2 linked regions of the Danio rerio genome follow. The protein of the gene in region 2 interacts with the protein of the main gene of each other region in a biochemical or structural test. Links are inferred from orthologs where the notes say so. Each region holds a gene or a part of one and is shown on either strand. Other genes may lie near its edges.

The links.
Region 1: the proteins of gab1 (region 2) and grap2a form a complex in vitro, tested with the Homo sapiens proteins (2 studies listed by BioGRID and IntAct, with this or other methods). The link is inferred for Danio rerio from reciprocal best matches to the Homo sapiens genes GAB1 and GRAP2.

The regions. Positions count from the first base shown.
Region 1 is NC_133178.1:28,210,265-28,222,372, reverse strand, and holds the end of grap2a (GRB2-related adapter protein 2a), read right to left. Parts: intron 8,583-12,108; coding exon 8,399-8,582; intron 8,141-8,398; coding exon 8,036-8,140; intron 7,737-8,035; coding exon 7,638-7,736; intron 6,797-7,637; coding exon 6,620-6,796; 3' UTR 5,936-6,619; downstream 1-5,935. Other genes in the region: fam83fa (protein FAM83F), read right to left, coding at 5,051-5,512. UniProt on the Homo sapiens protein: Interacts with SLP-76 to regulate NF-AT activation. Binds to tyrosine-phosphorylated shc.
Region 2 is NC_133176.1:38,712,113-38,724,283, reverse strand, and holds part of gab1 (GRB2-associated-binding protein 1), read right to left. Parts: intron 9,809-12,171; coding exon 9,583-9,808; intron 7,110-9,582; coding exon of another isoform or gene 7,020-7,109; intron 4,303-7,019; coding exon 3,659-4,302; intron 559-3,658; coding exon 464-558; intron 1-463. UniProt on the Homo sapiens protein: Adapter protein that plays a role in intracellular signaling cascades triggered by activated receptor-type kinases. Plays a role in FGFR1 signaling. Probably involved in signaling by the epidermal growth factor receptor (EGFR) and the insulin receptor (INSR).

The sequences.
Region 1 (12,108 bases), on a different chromosome or scaffold from region 2:
TTATGGTTACAAAAAGAAATGGCCCAATAAAATCAGGTCCAAAGATTACAGTGAGCCTGGGATTGCAATGTCTTCGTATAAATGTATTAGAGATTTACATTTGTGGAAGGAAATGTAGGGTGAAGTGACAATAGAATGTAGTTGGACTTAAATTTTTCACAAACCTTCATTATACAGTTTGTATTAATTGGGGGTTAATACAGTAAACAGAGACATATTAAAGGCACTTGCTTTTTCCTTAACTTAAATGTGTCATAAACAGGAACATGCAGGCAGAATCTGAATATCTTAACTAGAAAAAAAAATCTGTGGATTTTAGGCTTGGGCGTTATCCAAATTTTGATACCGTCAAACCTCCTTCCTGTTTTACCTTGGTATATGGTATTACCGTGCAAAATAAAAAAAATATGAGGCTCAGACAGCATCATCAAACTGTTTGGGTCTGGGGTCGCCACAGCAGAATGAAACGCCAACTTATCCAGCACATGTTTTACGCAGCGGATGCCCTTCCAGCTGCAACCTATCACAGGGAAACATCCATCCACACTCATTCACACACATAGACTATGGCCAATTAAGCTTACCCAATTCACCTATAGCACGTCTTTAGACTGTGGGGAAAACCAAACACCCGGAGGAAACCCACACGAACATGGAGAGAACATGCAAACTCCACACAGAAATGCCAACTGACCCAGCTGGGGCTTTAACTAGCGACCTTCTTTCTTTGAGGCGACAGTGCTGCCCAATGCGCCAAAGTGTCACCTAAATAAATTATACTTAATATTAAGTATTTAATCCTTGTCTCCTATATAAGTGCATTGTTTTTTATTATGGTATATCGGTATTAAAACTAATACCATTGCTATATTTAGATCCTGCGGTATACCATATTAGCGTATTACCGCCCGAGCCTAGTGGATTTATATGAGAAATAATTTTGAGCATAAAAGCTTAAAACTTAAAGTGATGGTTCACTCAAAAAATATTTTATTCTGCTGAACACATCAGATGTTTTTTTGAAGAATGTTGGAAACCTATAACCATACATCCATAGCAGAAAAAGTAATTTTATGACCTTCAATGGTTATAGGTTTCCAACATTCTTCAAAATATCTTTTTTTTGCATAAAAATAGTTTGGAACAACACTGTAAAAAAGTTGACTCGTCCTGAAATTGTAAGGTAACTTGCTGCAGAGCTTTTTTGAGTTGACTCAAAAATGTCCTGAAGCTGGTTGCCTCAAATTTTTAAGTTGGGTCAACTTTTTACAGTGAAATAAAGAGTAAGTAAATGATGGTAGAATTTTCATTTGTGATTGAACTATCCCTTTATAAAATAATTTTTCAACTTTTATTTAAGGTTTATACTGCAAATCCATATACAGTATATCCACTTGTTTGGTAAACAACAAGCTACAGTAGGCCTCACATACAGTATATTGCATCCACTACAAAAGAAAATATTACTTTACAAATTGGATCTAAACATTGATATATTACTCATAAATATTATGGAAATGAATATAAAATATAACATAATATATATTATAATTTTAGATATTATATATTAAAATTGATACAATTTTAAATAAGACTTAAAACTTTCTGTGTAACTTTCTGTGGGCCTGATTCTGTGTGCCTAGTCATAACTCATTTATAACCGTTAAGGAAGATACTTCATGTATGTGTAAACCTAGTAGCAAATAGGCAAGTCTTAAAGCCTCTGGCACTCTTACTGACAAAGAACGCTCTTACAGATAAAGCCCAAGGCTAGAGAGGTTATTCCCTGACTGATTATTATTTCATTCTTTTCACTAAAACTCATTCACAGTGACACGCATTGTACTTTACAATAGATTAAAGAAAATTCTTTAAATGCCACCTGATCTTTAATCTAGCAGTAAAATCCTCTCCTTTAATGATTTTATTATATTCTTAATAACATCATCGCTAAGTTACTGCTTTAAATCAACATTGCCATTTATCCACATACAGTAATACTACATGAATGTAATTCAAAATCAAAATTCAAATCAAATATCGTAGCTAAATATTATCAGATTTGTAATTGTAATTTAATTTAAAGTTATTTTCCTTCTCAATCTTAATTTCATCATGAATTTAATTTTGGGTTCAAATGAATTATGATGTTCCTGTTACATATCAGGATGAAAGATAGTTGTTCAAACACTGTGGGTGATTTCCAAATAAGAGCTCAAAGCTGTTTCTTAAATTATTGACACTCCTCCAAAATACCCACAGTCTTGTCTGTTTCCAAGAAATTTGACTTTCTTACAGCAAATAAAATCTACTAAACTCAGTTATTAGTCCATTATTGTTTCTTCTGCCTTCACAAAACTTCATGGCAGGTTTAAATACATTCATGTCAGAGTTAAGTAAATGTTATTTTTGAAAGATGATCTCATCCGCAGCTGAATTTATAAAACCACATGACTTACAGTTAATTTAAAACATAATTGCAGACCAATATAAACTAGTAAAACTGGTTGTGGCCACATGCTTCGTCATCATGTGAATAATACAAATTAAATGAATACCAACAAATAACATGTACATAAATACATGATCTATTAACAACTAAAACTAACCAGTATGTATTTCCTTCACTGCTTTTGCACTTTTTTTTTTCCAAGTGCATAATCCAATAGTGACAGTACATTTTGTTTTTCATTACTGTAGACTATTTATAACATTTTAGTTAAGTAATCTGTGAATACATTTTTTTTTTACTTCTAGATAATAGTATTTTTCATTTTGAAGCTACTAGATAGCATTTTATTAGCCATTGACCAGTGTGTGTGTATTGTAATAGCACTACATTTTGGTAGCGCATTATTTTACTAGTCCTGTTTCACAGTCCACAATCATTACCAAAACTTGGCAATATCCATGTACAATTACTAAACCTAAATCTAGCCTTAATTTTCTTTGATAAATATAAAGTACACATATTGTAAAATGCAAAGGTCCTTTCCTTTATCACTGGTTACCTAACTAACAACATACTGTAGTTTTGGTCTTGTTTAATCACAGGATTGAATGTATACTTCCTAGGTTTAAAATATTGTTAGTGAGTTTTAATTTTCTAATATGTATAAGTGGCATTTAGTATCAGTAAAACTAGATTTAAATGAATAACACTGAACTAATGAAAACTGAATACAATTACTGAACTAGTAGGTTATAGTAGTAAATGTCCTGCTACCACTTCTGTTAAACAAAATGCTAATTTTTGAATCACTGACCTCCATGGGCATATAGGTAATAATAAGAGCAGTAGCAATGGAAATAGATACATTTGGAATGTTAGAACAGCAGCAAGAACCAAAATATTTTAAAAAACTATAATAATTCAAAATTTTGAAAAAATGATAAGAAATGAATAACTTAATTTTAAGGCATCCGTGTTGCAAGTTCAATCTACTTACTGTTGTAATTACAATTAATCATGCATGATTACATGACACTAAACCTAACCAGTATTGTAACCCTAACAATACATTAAGTGCATGTAATTAATTAATACTTAGTAGTTCAATGGATTGCACACTCGCTGTAACAGGGCCACCTTTAAAAATGAACCAAAATTTGACCCTGAAAGTCAGGCACAGATTAAGAATTCAGAGGCCCCTGGGCACAATGTCTTGTAGCCCCCCTACCTGGTCGCACCCCTATAATTGAATTAAAAAATTAAATTATTATCATATTTTGTAATAAAATTAATCTATATGTTATTGCCCACATTTTTTTTTAAATAAATGATATACAGTACATATACATGTATTTCAAGTCTACAAAGATTCAACTTATTTTTGAAGCATTTAAAGCACACTTTGAAAAAAAAAAATACTAATACAACTAGTGGAAATTAATGGATTTTAATATACTTATTCAGATTGACTGAAGCAGTGCTAAAATTTATATTTAAGGGTATTTTTAATGTATAATCTCTACAAATTTAATAATGCATATGATTAGGATATAACCCCTCTCCAATCCAGTTCTATGAATCTGAGTCTTGCATAATACACATACTTATTAATGATTCCTACTTGTCTTCCTCGTGATGAAGAGTAGGCAAAATCTGATATGTAGTAGGGGAAAAAGAAGAATGAGCTCACCAGATGCTGGATTCGAACCGGGTTCATGATTGATTGTGTCAAAACATGTAGCCATGCGCTTTACGAGCTATGCCACTCACACCGCTGTTAGATGCTCTCTTTAGTTAAGTTGTCTCTGTCAATCAAACGGTGATGAGCCAACGAGGTGTGCTATTTGCACGTAGACTAAATAGACACTACAAAATCGGCGTTTCCCCCACCCTCGCAGGGGCCCCTGGGCCTGTGCCCATAATGCCCATTGGTTAATCCGGCCCTGCTGAAGGTAGTGAATAGTCTTAGCGGAACTGATCACATGCCATTTTCTAGAAACATTGTGAACACCAAACAGTAACAATGTAAAACTTTATTGGGATACTATGGGATAGCTGAAATGTAATTATTACCAGCATCTAATATATAATTGTTTTGACTAATGGAAAAAATAATTGATCTCTAAGATAAGTTTGAGTGAACTATTATTAGGCCTACTAGTGGAACTCAAAGACATGCTCTTCATTAACGTATTGTTACTTAAAGGATATTTCACCCCCAAAAAATAAATAAATAAAAAATTATGATAAATGATAGATGATAAATTTACTCACCCTCAAGTGTTTCCAAACTTTTATGAGTGTCTTTATTCTGAACACAAAATAAGATACCTTGAAGAATGCTAAAAAACCTTTAACCATTGACTTCCATAGTACATTTGTTAAAACAAATATTATTAAAGTCAATGTTGACAGTTTTACAGCTTTCTTCAAACATCACATTTCATGTTCAACAGAAGAAACTCAAACAGGTTTGGAACAAGTTAAGGGTGAGTAAATGACTTATTTTGGGTGAACTACCCTTTAACTATGTATTTAAAATTATTCTAGTTTTTGTAGGTGTTTTGACATAAATGATAAAATGCCATAGACTCCTACCTTTGTAGATTCTTGAATGAGTTTGCGTACCACCTCTTTAATATGCGGGCTGTTGGATTTCGGTGGGTGGGTGTAAACCGACACCCGAGTCACCCCTTTGTAATGGCCGTTGCTGGGCCAACCGATGTCCAGCGGAGGGATCTCCGTGTCAGACATGGTGGGCCAGTAGGTAGAGTGTACGCCCGAGTCCTCGCTCGTATCATGGGGCGACCGTGAGCAGCAGGTGTCCGAGTCGCTGTCATACTCCTGGAAGGTCTCCCGCATCCACTTGATCTCCCTGGCGGACAGAAAGTCTTTAACGCTATCCTCTTTTAGGCGCATCTTGAACGCGCCATCCCCGTTCCTGAGGAGCTGCTCGAGCGCGGCCCGCTGCTCCTCACTGTAATAAAACTCCGGTTTGGACTCGGGTATTTTCACGTTTACATGTTCATCGTCCATGCATATTAGTTGAGACTCAGCCATGGCAGCTGCGCTCCCGGAAACAACGGGTTCACCTGTGTGGCTTCTTCAGGCAGCCCTCTCTACCCACCTTTACCTGTTTGAGTGGTTTGGCTGAGGTGATTCAGTGCCGAATAGAGTGGGTGGGCGGGGATTCGGAGCCGATGGGCGGGACTTCAGAAAGGTATTGGGAATTGACATGACGACACTTGTTTAACTTACAACAGAAGACGGATCAACCTGTCACGGTAGTTTCCCTGTCTGACTTTTTTGTTTCAAGATAACTGACAAGAGTCAGGAAGGTAAACAAAGGAATGGACACGAATACAGCTGCCAACAGGAAAAGCTAAACTAAAAAAGTTTAACATTATTCACATGGAAATAACAAAGAAAATTTGGGAACAAAGGGTTTTTAGTTTTAAGTATGGCGTTAAAAATAACACTGTATTTTTGAAAGCACTTTTATTCAAGTTCTGTATAACACTGCTGTTATCATGTTTGAGTCTGACATCTTTTCCATCCTGTACAACAAAACAACATGCTTTGTAATAGGCCTGTTTTGACAAATTGTTCGAACTGGTAAAACATATAATTCAATACAAAACGGTAACAAAACCTTGCTAACTGTAAGAACTCCTGTGTTAGTGTGTCCTTTTGAAAACCTAAAATAAAACGCTTTTATAAATGATCAAGGTGATGACAAGTGTCCCAGCAAACACCGAACACTGGCCAAATGTACTCACTAGGCCATAATAACATTTTCTATGTAGGTTGCAAAACCAAACCAACAAAGAATGTTTTGGGAATGTTCTGGCCAACTTTTCCACTACTTGTAAACTGGGGTCATTGTGTATAAATGTACTGTATAATTCAATAATCTGTATCTGGGAGAGTTTGACTAAAAGGAATGGAATGGTATAGTCCTTTCTTCGTACCTTATTTCTAAAATAAAAAAACGGTTATATATATGAAAAAGAGAAGCACGAAAGACTTTGATGAGAAATATCTTTTTCTCAGTTGTCTTCAACAGTTCTGCAGCAGTCTATATGAAATTCATTTGAATTTAATGGACCAGTCCATACATTGTACATGTATTTGACTCTTGGTATGGTGATTCCACACCTTTGAGTATTAGATCTGTTCTGTGTAATTGGCAGGGAAAAGACCACTCCTGCCCCGCAATCGACCTTTCCACCATGACGCATCCGAACGGTCCAGTACTTCAATGATGTCACCGCTATTGAAACCCAATTCATCGTCTTCCTCTGCTGTGAAGTCATATATTGCTCTCACCTGTATGGTTGATCTCTGACACACACACATACACACAAAAACAAACAGTGTCAGTACCATAAAAGATACCAATATTCTCCTGAACTTTGTTCTTCTATAGTCTATCTTTTTTTATTTTATTATATTAATACTATATTATATTACATTATATTCTCTTTTCGGCTTATCCCCTTTATTAATCAGGGGTCGCCACAGCGTAAAGACCGCCAAATTTTGCAGCATATGTTTTACACAGCGAATGCCCTTTTAGCCCCAATGCAACACTGGGAAACACCCATACACTCTTGTATTCACACACATACACTACAGCCAATTAAGCTTATTCAATTCCCCTATAGAGCATGTCTTTGGACTGTGGGGGAAACCGGAGCACCCAGAGGAAACCAACGCCAACACGGGGAGAACATGCAAACTCCACACAGAACCAGTGACCTTCTTGCTGTGAGGTGATCGTGCTACCCACTGCGCCACCGTGACGCCCTATATTATATTATATTATATTATATTATATTATATTATATTATATTATATTATATTATATTATATTATATTATATTATATTATGAAAATAAAATTGACTATCAATATACATGTTAGGTTTCACTAAGAAAACAAGAATAAAAATTGACATATTTCTGACAAAGTAAAACATTTTTTGCACAATTATAAATCTTAAATTCATAGAAACAACAAAATTCCCTCATATCTGTATATACAGTATGTGTTTTTGTCTCAGCTTAGTTTCTGGGACAAGAATATATTTCAACACTGACATTATTGCACACATGACCTTTACAAAAAAAAGTTTACACAAGATCTACACGTCATAAATTTTTCAAGATTTCTGGCATCCTACCGGAGCAGGGGCAGTTTCAGAGGTTCGTCGAGGGGCCGGGCTGTTCTTCCCTTGGTGACCCAGAGTGTTAGATTTCTCCTCAACACTTCCTCTCTTACCCTGAGAAAATTGCACAACTTTACTCATTAGAAAGCTATTTTTTTTCTCGTTAAGCAATATGCATAACAATTGTAATTCTATATTTATCTTAATGACACACTTGTGCACACACACACACATATCATTATATATTCATTATTTATTTAAGCTTAAAATGTTTTAATGGACAGTTGGTTTGCTGAATGGATAGAGGCCTCTGTAATTCAGTTTGAATGGAAACATTAATAATTTAACAAGCATTTTCAGTTTTTAAATGCAAGGTCAGATGGGGCAGAATTTCCCTGCTGACACATTACTACCTTTTGGTTGTGAGTTGGATCTGTTGTGCTGCGGTTTTGTGATGAGGTTTGTGGACTGCCATAGCCACCACCTGGGGGAGGCCGAACTTCTGGCTGACTCTTTATCTGAAAGCGAGGACAATTTTAATCAATTAAAAGTGAAGAATATCCACCATAGCATTTCACTTTTTGATTCTCTTACATCAGCTATTCCTTGAAAAGCTAAAGGGAAATCAGCAGATTCATGAGTGCAAAGAAGATGAACAATTTAATTATTAAGCTTGAGTTCACTGAGTTTGTGCATGAAGTTCTGCATGAACAACAATCTAGAATATTAACAGTAAACGTGCTGTGTTTATTGGTTTAAATCGAGAGATTATTTACAGGCGGGGGTGCCCTTGGCTCATCTCCACTTCCATCCCTAAGAAAGATCTCCTTCTGCTTGGATATAGAGGTGGTCTTGTAGAAGTCCACAAGCTTGTTTAGAGAGGTAAACTTCTCTGTCCACAAATAATAGTGGCCCGATTTGTCCTTCATAACTTTGAAATGTTGCACATCATAATCGTGTCTGTGAACAGAGAGGGATAAAAACAGAACATGAAGTTAGATATAAATAAGTGAATGTGAGATGTTTATTTATATATATATTTATTTATATATATATATAAATTTTTTTTTCAACACATTTATTTCAGGGTCTTTTTAGTCATATGATGGCCTAATATAATAATAAATTCACACATACCTACAGGGTGGCTGCAGCAGGAGGTTTCGAAAACCAGGCGATTCTAATGTCATTACTCGATTGAATGGGCGTTATCAGTGGTTATCAGCTGATAGATATGGGCCAGTTGGGGCTTTCTGCACCTACTTGTAGGCTCATAAGGCTGTTATCATCCATATGGCTGTGGGCGCAGAAGGCCCTACTGACCAATATCCATCACTGATAACACCATTTGATCCCATTTGAGTGATAACATTAGAATCGGGTGAGAAAACAGTGTTCACAACATAATGCTTTAAATATAATAAGAATAAATTCAGATTTGATGAGTTTCACATATTTTCGGTCACGTTACAACAAAATTTCCTTGTGCTTTCAAATTGAGCTACCAAAATGAGATTAGAGTTAAATACAGTTAAATAACCATAAAATGAATTTAGTGAGATACATCGCTGCAGGCACCGGACGTTAACATGATGCACGCCAACGTCGTGGAGACATTGGATTTTGTTTGGAAATGAAAATCGAGTTGACGTCAAAATCAAACACCTCAACAATAATCAACCTAAAATCAACCAAATATCAATGTGTAATCATGTTACACCTTGACGTTGTATCTATCAGACGTTGAATTTTGGTCACTTTCCAACATAACCTAAAATCAACCATTGAACATTTAATGTGAGACAGAGTTTTTTAGATCTTTACATTTGATGGATAATTGATAAAGAATTTTGATCTTTACAAAGAACTTTATAAAACATAATATACTTAAAATTGTTTCAAGATATGTTCTGCCTACTTTTGCTTTGTGTTACTTTAAATAACGATAGGATTCAATTCAAGTTCAGTTGTGCAGTGCTTTCCACAAGTATTACAAGGCCTTTATATTACAAAGCAGCAATGTGTTGTGTATATGGCGGACAGTACAGTATGGTTATTTTTCATTGGATGTGTAATCAATTCAGAGTACTTCATTTCAGTTTCAGTCAAGACTTTTCATTTTATTATGGTAATATTTGATTTGAAATGTTTTTGACTCCTATAAAAAAAGTTTCTTATTCCGGCAACCAGCATAGGGTATATGCAGAAACATGCTAATGGGACTTTTAATTTGCCAGTAACCTGGATTAACCGCTTCCAATGAACTGAATGCCATTGCAAAATCGCAAGATCTCCACTGGCTGAATGAAATCCAATATAAAGTGGGTCTCAGATTGTACAAGAAGCACTGCATTAAATTACATTTTCCCCACCATGTGTTTATAATATAAGCATTTTTTTTTCACCCAAGTATAATCAATGGAGTTTCTACGCTCCTCTGCTAATTCTGACAGGTGCGTGCGAGTAAACGGCTTTTTGTCTCGTTTTACATTTGAGCAACTACATGAATGCCAAAGTCTATTTAACTGATTGTATTTAAATTGCATTAAAACATCGATGCTGTAAAAGGACCCATTTAAAATTGAAAGAAAACTCACAATAAAACGTCAAAAGTTTAAAAAGTTTAAAAGTTTATCAGTATGGGAAGGGAACAACATTAGCTCGGCATATACCCTATTTTGAAATTGGTCAAGACTTGGCAAATCTTTTTTTAAAATATTGTTTACTGATATGAAAGATTTACTGTAAAGCATAATAAACAAATGTATATTTTCAATATACAATCAAAATATATTTTCAACAAATGTACATAAAATGTATAAATGCATATATGATCGCAGGCTGAACTTTCAATTTCATATGGTGGTATTAAAACTGGCTTTCATTTATCTTGTTTACATCTTCAGACACAATTAAAAAGTAGCAATTCAGCCAAAGTCTTTATCCGAAGCAGGTTATTCAAGTTTAATTACGAGTCCTGATGTATTGAATTCCAGCAGGTTTGAATAAACAAGTTAACAAAACCTGCACAACCTTCTCTCTGCACTAGAGGGAACCCTCTCTCATTCTCTCTTTCTCTTTCTCTCTCTCCCTCAGTCTTACAGTGTGACCTACTGTATAGCTGATTTATGAGAGGATGGCTAAAACAAATGGACTGTCTGACCGCTGTAATAAGATGGATGTTATTGATGCATTATTGATGGGGTTTTTCCACAGGCTAGATTCAGTCTGTGCGTGTGTGGGCAGAAGCTCTCATTTGTGAAAGTCTTCCAGCCTCGTGGCCTTAGTGGCAAGAAGACTGACATTAATATTTGTGTGGTTACAGCTTTATAGCATTCAGTGGCCTTCACAAGCTAGCTGAAATATTAGTATTAGGCTAACAAGTCACTTTATATAATTTGTTTTATTTTTGTGCAATATTATTCTAATAGGTGCTTGAGGAAAAGATGAAAAGCCTCCATACTTTTGTGCCTCCCCCAGTCATAAACAATATCACAATATCATTTTTAAAGGGATCTTTCACAGTTATTTTCTTCTCTTTTTTTGATCTGTTTATTAAACTTTTACAGATATAACAAAGTCATTTTACAGGAAAATTTAAACAAATATTATTTCCACCCCAACCATCTAAACAAGATGAAATTACAATTATCTAAGAGAGAAAATAAATGAACAAATAAAGAAATGAATAAAAAATTTGAATAAATTAAAAACTAAAAAAATAATTTTAAAAAATGTAATAAATAATAATAAAAAAAGCTGTAAAGAATACATATATACCTTGATAATTCAATACTACAAACAATTATCCTCAGGTATTTGTACAATGTACTTAATTACATTTGCTTTGCAATTGAAAGGCCCTAAGATTTAGATTTGTATTGCCCTAAGATTTAGACAGTTTGAAGAGATACTGACATGCTCAGAAAAGAAAATTCTAAATTGGTCTCATGTTTCAGAAAAAGCCCTTGTATTGCCATTTATTGTAAACCTGATTTTTACTCATTGCATCTTGCAACCAATTGCCAAAACTCTGGGGAAATCTTTGTTTCTAAATAAAAGAATACACCGTCTTGCTAACAGTGTCAAAAATGCAAGGGTGTTTGCAGTACAGCTCGATAACCCTGCTATATTCTGAGAAAGTCCAAAACGTGCAATAAGAGGTGTCCAGTGTGCATCTTTGAAAATTGATAGCCAAAAAGAAGTGATTGACAGACAAAGCCAAATCATATAGTTGAGGTCAAAAATATGAAACCCCCTGAATTATTAACCCCTGTTTATTTTTTTCCCTAATTTCTGTTTAACGAAGAGAATATGTTTTCAGCACATTTCTAAACATAATAGCTTTAATAACTCATTTCTAATAACTGATTTATTTAATCTTTGCCTTGATGACATATTTTACTAGATATTTTCCAAGACACTTCTACAGTATACTGCTTAAAGTGACATTTAAAGGCTTAACTAAATTAATTTAGTTAACTAG
Region 2 (12,171 bases):
AGCTATATTATATTTGTGCATATACATTATATTAGTCAGTACTGAAGCATAATCTGGAGCTTATCTAACAAAATAAATTACCAAAATGGTCCAAAAACAAGTTCACCCAAATTTATATGATATAGAAAAATATTAAATACAAATTCAGAAAAAGAGGAGAAATCAATAGAAGCGAAAAAATTGAAAAAAATTAGTTGAAATTTTGTAGGTTGTAATTTTTTTTTTTTTTTGCAATATTTTGCTTGAATTTAATTGTATTATCTTTTAATTTCTAAATGTTTGGTGACTGAAATATTATTGTAATAAATACATCTGTTTAATAAATCTGTTTTGTTTAAATGCACCAAAATATGTTGCTTATATTCACTAAGAAATGGATACAAGTATTCATTTTCAAAATGGGGTGTACTCAATTATGTAGAGCACTGTATAAAGATAAAGCTTAATAAGATAGAAAACTTACAAAATAGTTGTTGAAACTTTCATTAAAATCAAACGAGCAACTTTTTTCTGAAGGGAAGGGCCGGGGTATATCATAGCAATCTTGAGATCCGTAATCTGTGGAGAAAAGAAATGCAAAAAGATAATATTTAATGTGTTATTATATTTTTAACTCTGTTACTGCTCTGATTGAATGTTCAGATGTGATTACTCCAAGCATGTCACGTCACATGATCCTTCAGAAATGTGAGGAAGGGAGTGCATGTAAACAATCTCTCAAACTCTCACAATACCATCACACAACACTAGAGGGACCCCCTCGCGACTACAGGATTTCACCACAAACAGCTTGATGATAGAATTGTCAATCAGAAAAAAATAGATACAGAGCAGACCTTAGTATTCATAACTCTTTAGAATCATTTAATTTATTTTACAGAACTACACCAGCTCTCTACCACATCATTCTGCTACCTGCTTGATGCATTGAATATGTCCCACAAAAATTAAATATTATTATTAATAACTTTTATCAGCCTTTTTTCCAGTCCATCCCTTGTATAAAGTGCTATAGAAATGAATGTAATTTGTTTGAACTCAGATGTTTAAGGTTAGTCTTTGTATGATCAATATTGAAAACAGAAGCTTGCTTAACAATAGTTGTTGTAGGCTTTGTGATACATCTTCTTATAATACTTTTGTAACACTGCAAATGTCCTTACTGTCAATCAGTTTAGTGCGTCATTGCTTCTTAATCAAAGTGACACTACCTGACATGCAGCAGACTACCAGCACTGAATACCATTCTTCCCAAGATTGCAAGGACGCCATCTGCAAATCCCTCCAGTTTTAAAACTGGAACCAGCAAATGTTTTGTTCTTCGACAAAATAAGTAAACAGAGAATCCTATTCTTTTTCAATCTGTGTCTTCAATAAAGCTTATTTGACAAAAAATGTTGTGTTCAAACTATTGGGGTAATGACACAACAAACTGATGGCCATTGCTGGGAACTGTATTTTTTCAGTGTTTTCCATATGTTTGCTCTAGTTGATTTCACATCTGCAACAGTTTGCCGATTCATCATGCTGAATAAGCCTCAGGGCCATCAGCGAGGCAAATCACTCAGATTAGCTATTCAGTTTACGAGAATTAAAATGACAGTAATGAAAATTCCACAGACAGTATGCTGTTCTTGTGTTGTGTCATCATACCTGAGCATTCCAACATGCAAATATTTTCATTATTTCATGGTGTTTGTAATGAAGAGAGTGACCAACATAATTGATATTAAAAACCATAAGCAAGTGCTGCTTTGTTCACCATTTGCATTTATGCAATTCTCCTTTTGGTTTCTCTTTTCAGATGAGGAATACTGATTACTAATACCTGCTGATAAAGACAATCAATTCCTTACATGTACGGGCATAACACATGTCTTTGAAATGTGTTTACAGAATGCCATTTTGCCCAGATGCAATCAATGCACAAAATTCTTTAAGGGGTAGTTCAGCCAAATATTTGAGTTCTGTTTTTAATTGTTTACCATCATGTCATCTCATGCCCTGAATCCTTTATTCATTTTCATAACACAAATAAAGATTTTTTTTTATTTAATTCAAGAGCTTCCTCATGCATAGACAACAACATTACTAAGATGTTCAAAGTTCATAAAAAGGACCAAAAACAGTCAAAATATTTTCATGTCCATTTAGTGGCTCAACTGTAATCATACCAAGCTCCAAAAACACTTTTGTTTCACAAAAAACAAAACAAATCTAAATATACCTTTGTTGGCCGATGTTTTTCATTTAAAAAATGTACTATAGGTAATATATGTGCTTGCATGTCATGTAGTTGACAATGTTTGGGTTTCCTTTTTTTACTGGATTTTGACTCTCTCTGGACCATTTCTGTCTATAGAGGATGAGGGAGCTCATCAACAATATCTTAAAGAGCACCTATTTTACCCCTTTTTTTCAAGATTGAATATCTAATAAGTATTTTGTACTTTTTTTGTACTGTCTGTAAAGTTTTAGATTAAACTGCAGATCAGTTTATTTATTCTACCTTTCTGAATCTGGAAAATTTGAGCTTTTAGGTCACTGTAGTTGTTTTTGTTGCCTGTGCATTTAATGCAAATGAGCTAGTTCTCCCCGCCCACCGTTCCCGCATGCACCTCAGAGCCATAGAGATCTTTCTGTATAGCTCTGCATGTAGCCTTCACCTGCTGCAACTCATGTCAGATAAACAGCACAGTGACAGACAAGAATGGGAAATATGACAGTAAGGACTTATGGTTATTTGATGCATTTGTTGTGGAGTTAATTAAAGATTTTCTGGAACAGTAAGTCACACAATGGCGCAAGCATGCACACATGCTAACATGTTTAACTTTGCACTGTTTTGCACAGCAAATATGACAGGATAGACGTTAATATGCACTGCTGTATGGACATCCATAAAAATGTATAAAATGATATGATGTATAAAATAAACCTGAGTTAAGTCCACAAAATAGGATTGAAGCATCTTCTTTTATAATCAGACTGACACTATGCTGCTGTGGTGATGAATTACAGCAATTTTACTGTGTTTTCTTTATTACAAACATGCACCGTTTTAAAAACGTTTCAAACTTGTAAAACTCACTCTTGAGGTACAGATGATCACAGAGAGCTGAACAGATCTTTTACCAGTTGCTTTGCGCAAGACCTGTCTTGTTAATATAATTATATGCGTATAGCGGAGATATGTTAATATGCGGCTGTCAATCTATTTGGTGGGGAGGGAAAACCGTACTCCTACATCACATTGCGGTGGGCCTCAAAATGGGAGGGATTTGGATCCTATCTTAACGTCAGAATATTTAAAAAAAAAAAAGAGACTTATTGTCTTTATATCACCCCAATATGACTGTGGACACATTATACCTGCACACAGCTCTGTCTAAGCTTACAAAAGTTGATATTCATCATAGGTGCCCTTTAAAGTGTGTTTCGAAGATAAACAAAATGTCAAATGAGAATTCGACCAACATGAGAGAGAATAATTACTTAATTTTATACGTTTATTTTATTCTTTGACTTTGGCTTGGTGTGACACCCATTGTGAAACTTACCTGTCTTAATAACTAAACGTTAAGCTAACTGCTCTTATGCTTAAAAAAAATGAAGGTTAAAATAGCACACATGACTGAAATACATAATATTTTCTTACCTTTACGCAGACGTGAAGAATCCACCGTACCAATGGTGTTGCTTCTGAGTGCTTTGTTGCCTCCTGCACTTGTCGGAACACAGTAATTCGTATCAGTCTCAGACACTGACCGCGGTACCACATAAGTGTCTGTAGGCGATCGCTCAGGGGGGACTGATCCCCCACTCACTGAAGGCTTTGGTGGACGTGGTGGTGGAATTACCTCTGTGGACCCTGAAACAGCCTCCACTCCTGCTGTTCGGGGAACCTGGTAGGTGGAATTGCTGCCAGGTGTAGGTGGAATATCATAGCTAACTGACAAGTTCCGCAAATGGGCCTCTAATGAGGGTTTCCGACCAGGTGTGTTAAAGACATAGAGTTCACCAGGTTCACCGTCAGGAATGGGAGGGGAGGTCGCCGACTTCGGCAGCAGCACAGTGTCCTGAGAGTAACTTCGGGGCAGGTGGTACAGGCCCTGTGAGTCGGCCGACAATGACTGCCCGCGCAAAGGAGGAGAATCGTAGAGCCCAGTGGGATGTTGGGTGGAAAAGAAACCATTGACCGGGGCGTTTTTGGAGGTGGAGGAGGTGGGTGTGTAGTGGGAAGGAAGGTTGTCATTACAGTCAGGTTCAGAGGAGGTAGACTTGGAGCAGTCGCCATGAGCCCTGCAAAGAAACCAAAGTATGAGATGCAGATTGTCAGTTAACTTTTCAATGCAAAATGTATTTAATAATGCAAATGAAGAGCAATTAAACTGTATAAAATACACTGTAATGTTCATGTTCTAAAACTAGTCATGTCATCATGCTTTTTTGCATTACAAATTAGTCTTAAATACAAAAATATAGAAAGTTTATTATTTAATAATTAACTGGCACTTAAAAGTTAATATACACTCAGTATGTCATTAGTGTGTGGTAATTGATTGCTGAAGTGGTTTATTTTGCAATAATTGTTCATTACAGATGCATTCAATTGTTTAGTACTAATTTAAAACTATAATGTGTTTTAATTGCCATGATGAAATGATAAGTATTGCCTTGATGAAACAATGTGTTTCTCTAATCCTCAGAGAGAACTGACACACTTCCTGTTGTAGATGCAATTGTAACAGTGTAGTTTTGTCGCAAAAAGTGAAAAATTACTTATTAACTTTAAAAAAAGGAAATCAGTACCTATAATATCCAGAAAAGGACTTAAACCAAGTAAAACAAAGCCTGGAAAGATTAAAAACTTGTCAATACCCAAGATTGAGTAATTCACGTTCCTTTATTTATTCATGCAGCCACTAAACCTTACTATTATACCAAAGTAATACTAATGCTAGAAAAGAAAAACTACTGAATGCACATTAAATCAATAAATAGATTATTTGAAAATCATTGACAGCTATGACATTAGAACAAAACAAGTGTGTCATGAGAGAAATAAAGTATCTACACTGTGAGATTGGCTGTCTGGGATGATGGTCAAATATAAATAACAATCAATACACAATATTGACCACAGATGGCGACAATTAAGGCTCTGGAGTCCAGTATACTTTAGGTGAAACTGAAGAATTAAATGGTTTGAAAAAACAAAAACAAAAGAAAAAACATAAATTTAGCTTTAGTTGGTAAACATCTTCAAACTATTATTGTGCTCCAGGGCTCTGTCTTCTATGATTTGGAAATCTGTTCCAATTTCTTTACTTTTAAGCCCATACAAGTTAAGTGATACATCTAAAAAAATACAGAGAACAGTCACTTTACAGAAGAAACTGAAGTGTAATTCTAAATGAAAGCAATATTAACACTGCATTGTCATGATAAAATCTGTCCAGATGCATGCTTTACAGTAATCTTCTGTTTAAAGTGCTACATAAATATTCTTAAAGTGTCTTTAGTTGACTAAAGTGACAAATCCACAACAATATGATCAGATGCTTTTTTTAATGTTCTTATTACTGTCATTTGCAGTTATTTTGTTATGGAGAGATGAGTGACACATACAGTGCATCCGGCAAGTATACATAGCGCTTTGCTTTTTCCACATTTTTTTGTTACAGTCTCATTCCAAAATGGGTTAAATTCATTTATTTCCTCAAAATTCTACACACAATACCCCATAATGACAAAGTGAAAAAAGATGGAAGCCACTCCCCACCTGGAATTTGCCAAAAGGCATCTAAAGGACTCCCAGACCATAAGAAACAAAATTCTCTGGTGTAAGGAGACTAAATTTGAACTCTTTGGCGTGAATGCCAGGTGTTACGTTTGGAGAAAACCAGGCACCGCTCATCATCAGGCTAATACCATCCCTGCAGTTAAGCATGGTGGTGGTGGCATCATGCTGTGGGGATGTTTTTCAGCTGCAGGTACTGGAAGACTAGTCAGGATAGAGGGAAAGATGCGTGCAGCAATGTACCGAGACATCCTGAATGAAAACTTGCTTCTGAGTGGTCTTGACCTCAGACTAGGGAATCGGTTCATCTTACAGCAAGACAATGACCCAAAGCACACCGCCAAATTAAAAATGGAGTGGCTTCATGACAACTTTGTGAATGTCCTTGAGTGGCCCAGCCAGAGCGCAAAATTAAATCCAATTGAACATCTCTGGAGAGATCTGAAAATGGCTGTACAGTACACTGTCGCTTCCCATCCAACCTGATAGAGCTTGAGAGGTACTGCATAGAGGAATGGGCAAAAATCCCTAAAGACAGGTGTGCCAAGCTTGTGGCATCATATTCAAAAAGACTTGAGGCTGTAATTGCTGCCAAAGGTGCATCAACAAAGTACTGAGCAAAGACTGTGAATACTTATGTACATGTGATTCTTCAGGTCTTTAAATTTTAATTAAATTTGCAACAATTTCAAAAAATCTTTTTTTCACATTGTCATTTTGGGGTATTGTATGTAGAATTTTGAGGAAATAAATTAATTTAATTTATTTTGGAATAAGGCTGTAACACAATAAATTGTGTAAATAGAGAAGCACTACGAATACTTTCCGAATGTACTGTATTTACATAATAACTCAGTATAATTTAATTCACTTTAAAGGTACACCAAGTTAGTTTCAACTCTTCATGAACATCCAGGGAAAAAAAATAACATTGCTGATAGTATTTCAGGGCATTTAACTAATCGTTATAAAGTGTTACAACCAGGTTAGTGTCAAACCCAACCATGCATGTCACAATTCACACAAATCCCAATTAAAACTGTGCATTCACAGTTTTAGATACACAATGCAAAACAAAAACTAAGTAAAGTATTTATTTTAGGAAGTTACTGAAAAAAGGTATGCACACATTCAGGTAAAAACAACAGTGTCAGACTATTGGCCAAATGTGTGTGCGGTTTAGTACTGAATTTTCACACTGATGCTCTTCACTCACTGACTGTCATGAGCAGCGCTCCGGCTCTCACACTCCTCCAAAAGCAGGTATTCCTGCTCCTCCTCCCCTAGACAAAGAGGAGCAACTAGACTACACCACACACAAATACACACAATGAGCCCCTTATTTCCAGATCTTTACTCATCATACCTGAACGTACTCAAAGCTTTCAGTAGAGGTGGGCGGTTTTTTACATTACATAACGCTGATACTGATATACACTGATATAAATACAACAGACTCAAAAAGGGAACAATCCTATATAACAAACTGTTGGATAAAACAATGCATTCCAATGGCAACTAATTTAGTGGCTAATTTGTATGATCTCATTTAGGGCTGCACGATACATCGCTTCAGCATCAAAATCGCGATGTGCGCATCCGCAATAGTCACATTGCAGGAGGAGCGATGCAAAGCAAAAAAAATAATAATAACAATAATATATATATATAACTGCCATATTATTTTATTTATTGTAAAGTTAATTGTTGGTAATTATTAAAACAAGTTTATCTTATCCACAATTGTTTTATAACATGTTTATTTTTTTTTAAACCACTCAGGGGGTTATTGTTTAGCTGTTTTTATATTTTTACAATTTTGTGACGAGATATTTCCTTCTGTTTTTTAATTGTTGTAATAAAAAAGTTTGTAATTGTTAAAAAGTTAAATAACTTATTTTGTCACTCGTGTTAATTCCTAAATGTGATAATAAAGTGTCATCTTTACATTCACCAAATGAGCTTACCTTTATCACAGTAAAAGCAACATTTAGTATTAATATCATAACATATTAGATCCTTGATTTATCTGAATTGACAGTTAAGTCATATTTTTTATAAACAACCCAAAAGAAAGTGTTTTTACTTATTAATTTTTATATTCTATGAAAATGCTTAAAAAATTACCCAAATTATTATAGAATTAATGATTATTTAATTTTTGAGCAGTTCAAAACTCCCGATTCTGAATTTTTAAAATATCGCAATATATATCGCAGGGAAAACAAATATCGCAATGTCAATTTTTTCCGATATCGTGCAGCCTTAATCTCATTCATATATTTTAGTACGATTTTCCCATCTCCCAGAGAGGGGTAGTGGTGGGTTTTTGTGCCCATGCCTCCTGTTAAAAATCATATATATTCATAAGAACGAAATTGCATGAACTTTTTCGAGTTGACCATTTTTTTTAACAATATGCACAAAAGTTACATTTGCTCGTGAGATGTTGATGGATGAGCCATCTTTTAAAATAGCCAATAAATGGGTCCCTCTTTATTCGAGGGAGTTATGTTCTAAAAATAACCCACAATAGGCAAAATCCTTGAAATAGTCTGCTTTATTTTTACAATTATTATAGATGTTTTAAGGCTGTAAAACTTCTCATAACATACTTCATACACTTTTCTCAGACAGGCATTAACCTTTTCACACTTTTAGCTCTTGTTTAAACACTCACAAAGTTCAAACCTTCGTAGAAAAATAAGTCCAGTGTTATAAAATGTAACCAAATATTTGATTGATCATTTATTTATTTTCTCTAATGACACCCTACAGCAGTGTAACTTCTACCTTCCTTTAGCATGTCCAGAAGTTCTACTTTTTGTGGAATGGTTAGCATCTTCCTCTGCCTTTTACAGTAAAGCACTTTAGAGTAACATTGCTAGCGATCGAAGATGTATGTAAATTTGGCAAGCTGAACGCATTCTGTACTGTACAGAAAACACAGCATTAAGGAAATTGATTGAAAACTTTCTACAGCCAATCAGGGCACAGAACACTATCAGGGCGCAGAACACAATACAATGTAGAAAAATAGCATGTCGAATTGCACAAAAAAATGGTGAAACTGCGAGGCTGCGAAAAGTGAACCGTTATGCCAAAGGATGTCTGTATACACATCTGTAGCTATGTTTCCATCCAAAGATGCAAAATAAAACTATGCGCAAGATTAGAATATTACATAAAAAGAGTTGAGATTAAAGAAGCACTTCCATCCCATGAGTCAAAGAGAACAAAATAGTCACGTCCTGATAAACTGGTGCCAAATATCAAAAAGAACAACGGAATTTGCTGAGGTACAGAATAAATCGCTTGTGCTTGAGAGGACAATGCCAACACGACGATCTTGACAGTTCTGGAGGCAACTAATACTATAACAATAATACTGAAATAGTTACAGCATACTAGAATGACCAAAACAACATGTCAGATGTTTTACAATGTTGTCAGCATGCTCAGTTGTCCATTAATGCATCCCATCACATGCATTCTCATCATCACATGAAGTCTTAAAACAAAATCACATCACTTTTTTAAAATGAATGTATTCTGTAAAAGTGTTTCCATCGTAGTTTATGTGCATTTTTTATTGAATTAAACGTTTATTGTATTAATCGTATTATTTATCGAATTTGTTTTCATAGCTTATCGTATTATTTTTTTATGCGCATCATCAAAGTTTATATGCATCTTGGCATTTTAATCAAGCATTTGTTAATGCAATAATCCAAAATGTGCACAAAAATAAGTGTATGGAGACATAGCTTGGGATTTACCTGTTAGGCTCAGGTTTTTTGCTCTCACAGTTGAGCAGCCAAAGGTAGTCCTGAGGCTCATCTAGACTGGAGGATGATCCCAGCTGTCTGATGCTAACGGGCTGGTAGGGAGGAGGCAGGTTGGCTAATGCAGACGCCCCTAAAGCTCCGCCCAGCCCTCCACTAGGGGCCATATCCACGACCAGACCGCCTGGCACATTAACATGATGAGAGACCTTTGCAGAGTCTGTAGAAAGAACAGTGGGGTTAGAGAGGTTAACATAAAAGCTTCACACTTTATGAGATCACGAGCTTCGAGACACATTTAAGATTAGATCAAACTAAGGGCTACACTGCTTATTCAAAAGCTTTTACTGAAACCGTTCCTGTGTAAAACAAATTACTATTGTGAAAGTGTCTTTAAAGGATGACTTCTGGTAAGCTAAGAGCACTTGGAAAAAAAGAACTATAAATTGTGAAAATTAAATTGTGAAAATACAAGGTGTGGCTGTGAAATGTACTGCACGCACAAAAAAGTACACAAAAAAAATCAAATATCAAATAATTTTATTTGGTTCGAAAAAAAAAATTATATAAGTAATTAAAAAATAACGTCTTATTCATTAATAATAATAATTTGTTGCTTAATCACACTGTTTTCTGGAGTGCTTATAGAATATTTTTACAAATATTCAGCTCTCTATGTAGGTTTGTTTTAAGAGGTCCATATAGAACTCATCGTTGCATATTATACATACAAAGTTTACTTCAACCTAAGTTCCGCATACAATATCATTGGTATTTGTTTCTTTTTAAATGTGTTTATTTTAGTTTCACTTCTTATTTAAAGCAGTTTTTTGTTCCATTTACCTCCTCAGATTCTCTTTGACATATGCAACAGAATTATTTTTTGTTCCAAGAATTACATACAACAGAAAGTGGGTCTCAAACTGCCGGCCTGCGGGACATTTACGGCCCCACCCTCCGGCCCGCAACTGATGTCAAAAATGTACCGAAATTCGAACCGCAAAAATAAATATATTTTTGAATGTCTTTCATTGATGTGCAGTCGTATCTAGCCACATGTTGTTTTGACCCGCCACCTAATAGACATTTAAAGTACTGCATTCAGATTAGTTTTACCTTCATTTTCTCTCAGTGTACAGTCGAGTCGAAATTAACACACATGCATTTTAATTCTGTGGCTGATTTAAAAGTTAAAATATATGTCTTTGCTCTATTTTTACAAGAGCTCTATTTTTGTAAATATTCAAGGGTTGTTTGATAATGAGTAGTTTTATATCACATGTATTTTATTGTACAAATGCTTCTTCATGGCTTACATTTTGTTGGTGGTGTAATAAATATGATGATTTTGCTCATTTTCGACTCAAATGGTCTCATTGAATAGATTTTCCTCATATGCTTATTAAGATTTGCATTAAAATCATGTACATTATTAAAACTGTGCTGCTAGTTGAATTGAATATGTTAAAGTAAATGTGAATATGTACATACCTTCCCCCTTTTCAGAAGTTTTACAAAATAAGAAAGATACTGAGAAGAACAATTGCCAGTAAATTCACTTAAGTTCCCCAAACTGCTTTCTGCTGTTCTTACGCTATTGGGACAATACAATTGGTTGGGACAGAATAATAATTATTATGTCAATTATTTGTAGCATTTTCATAGCAATTTAAAGTACCCCCTTAACATGCACAACAAGAAACAAAAAGCTAGAGCTTTGACTGCATATACTCTGTGAAAGAATGACTGAGTGTGTGTCTGATGCACAGCTATACACCCAAAAACCACACATATATTTAAGCAGCTGATGTGTGACACGATAAACATGCTGATTTGCATGATCACTGGTGACAGGTAATGCTTGAAATAAATATCTCTGTTGTCCAAAGATGTATAAGTTATGTCAGGATTTTTTTCTTGTGCTTGAATGTTAAAACAACCCTCAGTCACTGAAATGGCCCCCTGACAATTTGAGTTTGAGACCCCTGCTGTAGGTCCTTTGAACGCAAAGCTCCTTTTGACTGAAACAATCTTCCTTCTTCTTTTAAATCATTTATGACCTTTAGCTTTTTTCAGGATTAATTTATCTTTTAAATGTTAACAACTTGTAAATGTTATTAATATTGGTTCCAATTTAAAGACTTATTATTTATTTGTAAATCAAATAGATTATATGTTTTTGTGTGCTTAGGCTTTAGACTGTGGGAAGTGTTTCAGGTGAAGTGTGCTGCTTGTTTGTTTGTTTGTTTGTTTGTTTGTTTGTTTGTTTGTTTGTTTGTTTGTTTTGTTAGGATGTATGTTGGTTATGACGGTATGTACTGTGTTTGAATTATGTACCTCTTAGAGACCCCCCTCGAAAATGAGATGGTTCACCTCAAGGAACTATCGCATTTAATAAATTCAAATTGAAATACTACTAAAAAATATGCAAAGATGGACCTTATGATAGTCAGTTAAGTTTTATATGACATTAATTAAAAGCTTAATCTTTATAAGGTGTTTTTTGAAGTGATGTTCAATCTGGGGGAGAAAAAAAATGTTATTAATATTACATTTTCAAAACAAAAATCTAATGTACGCCTA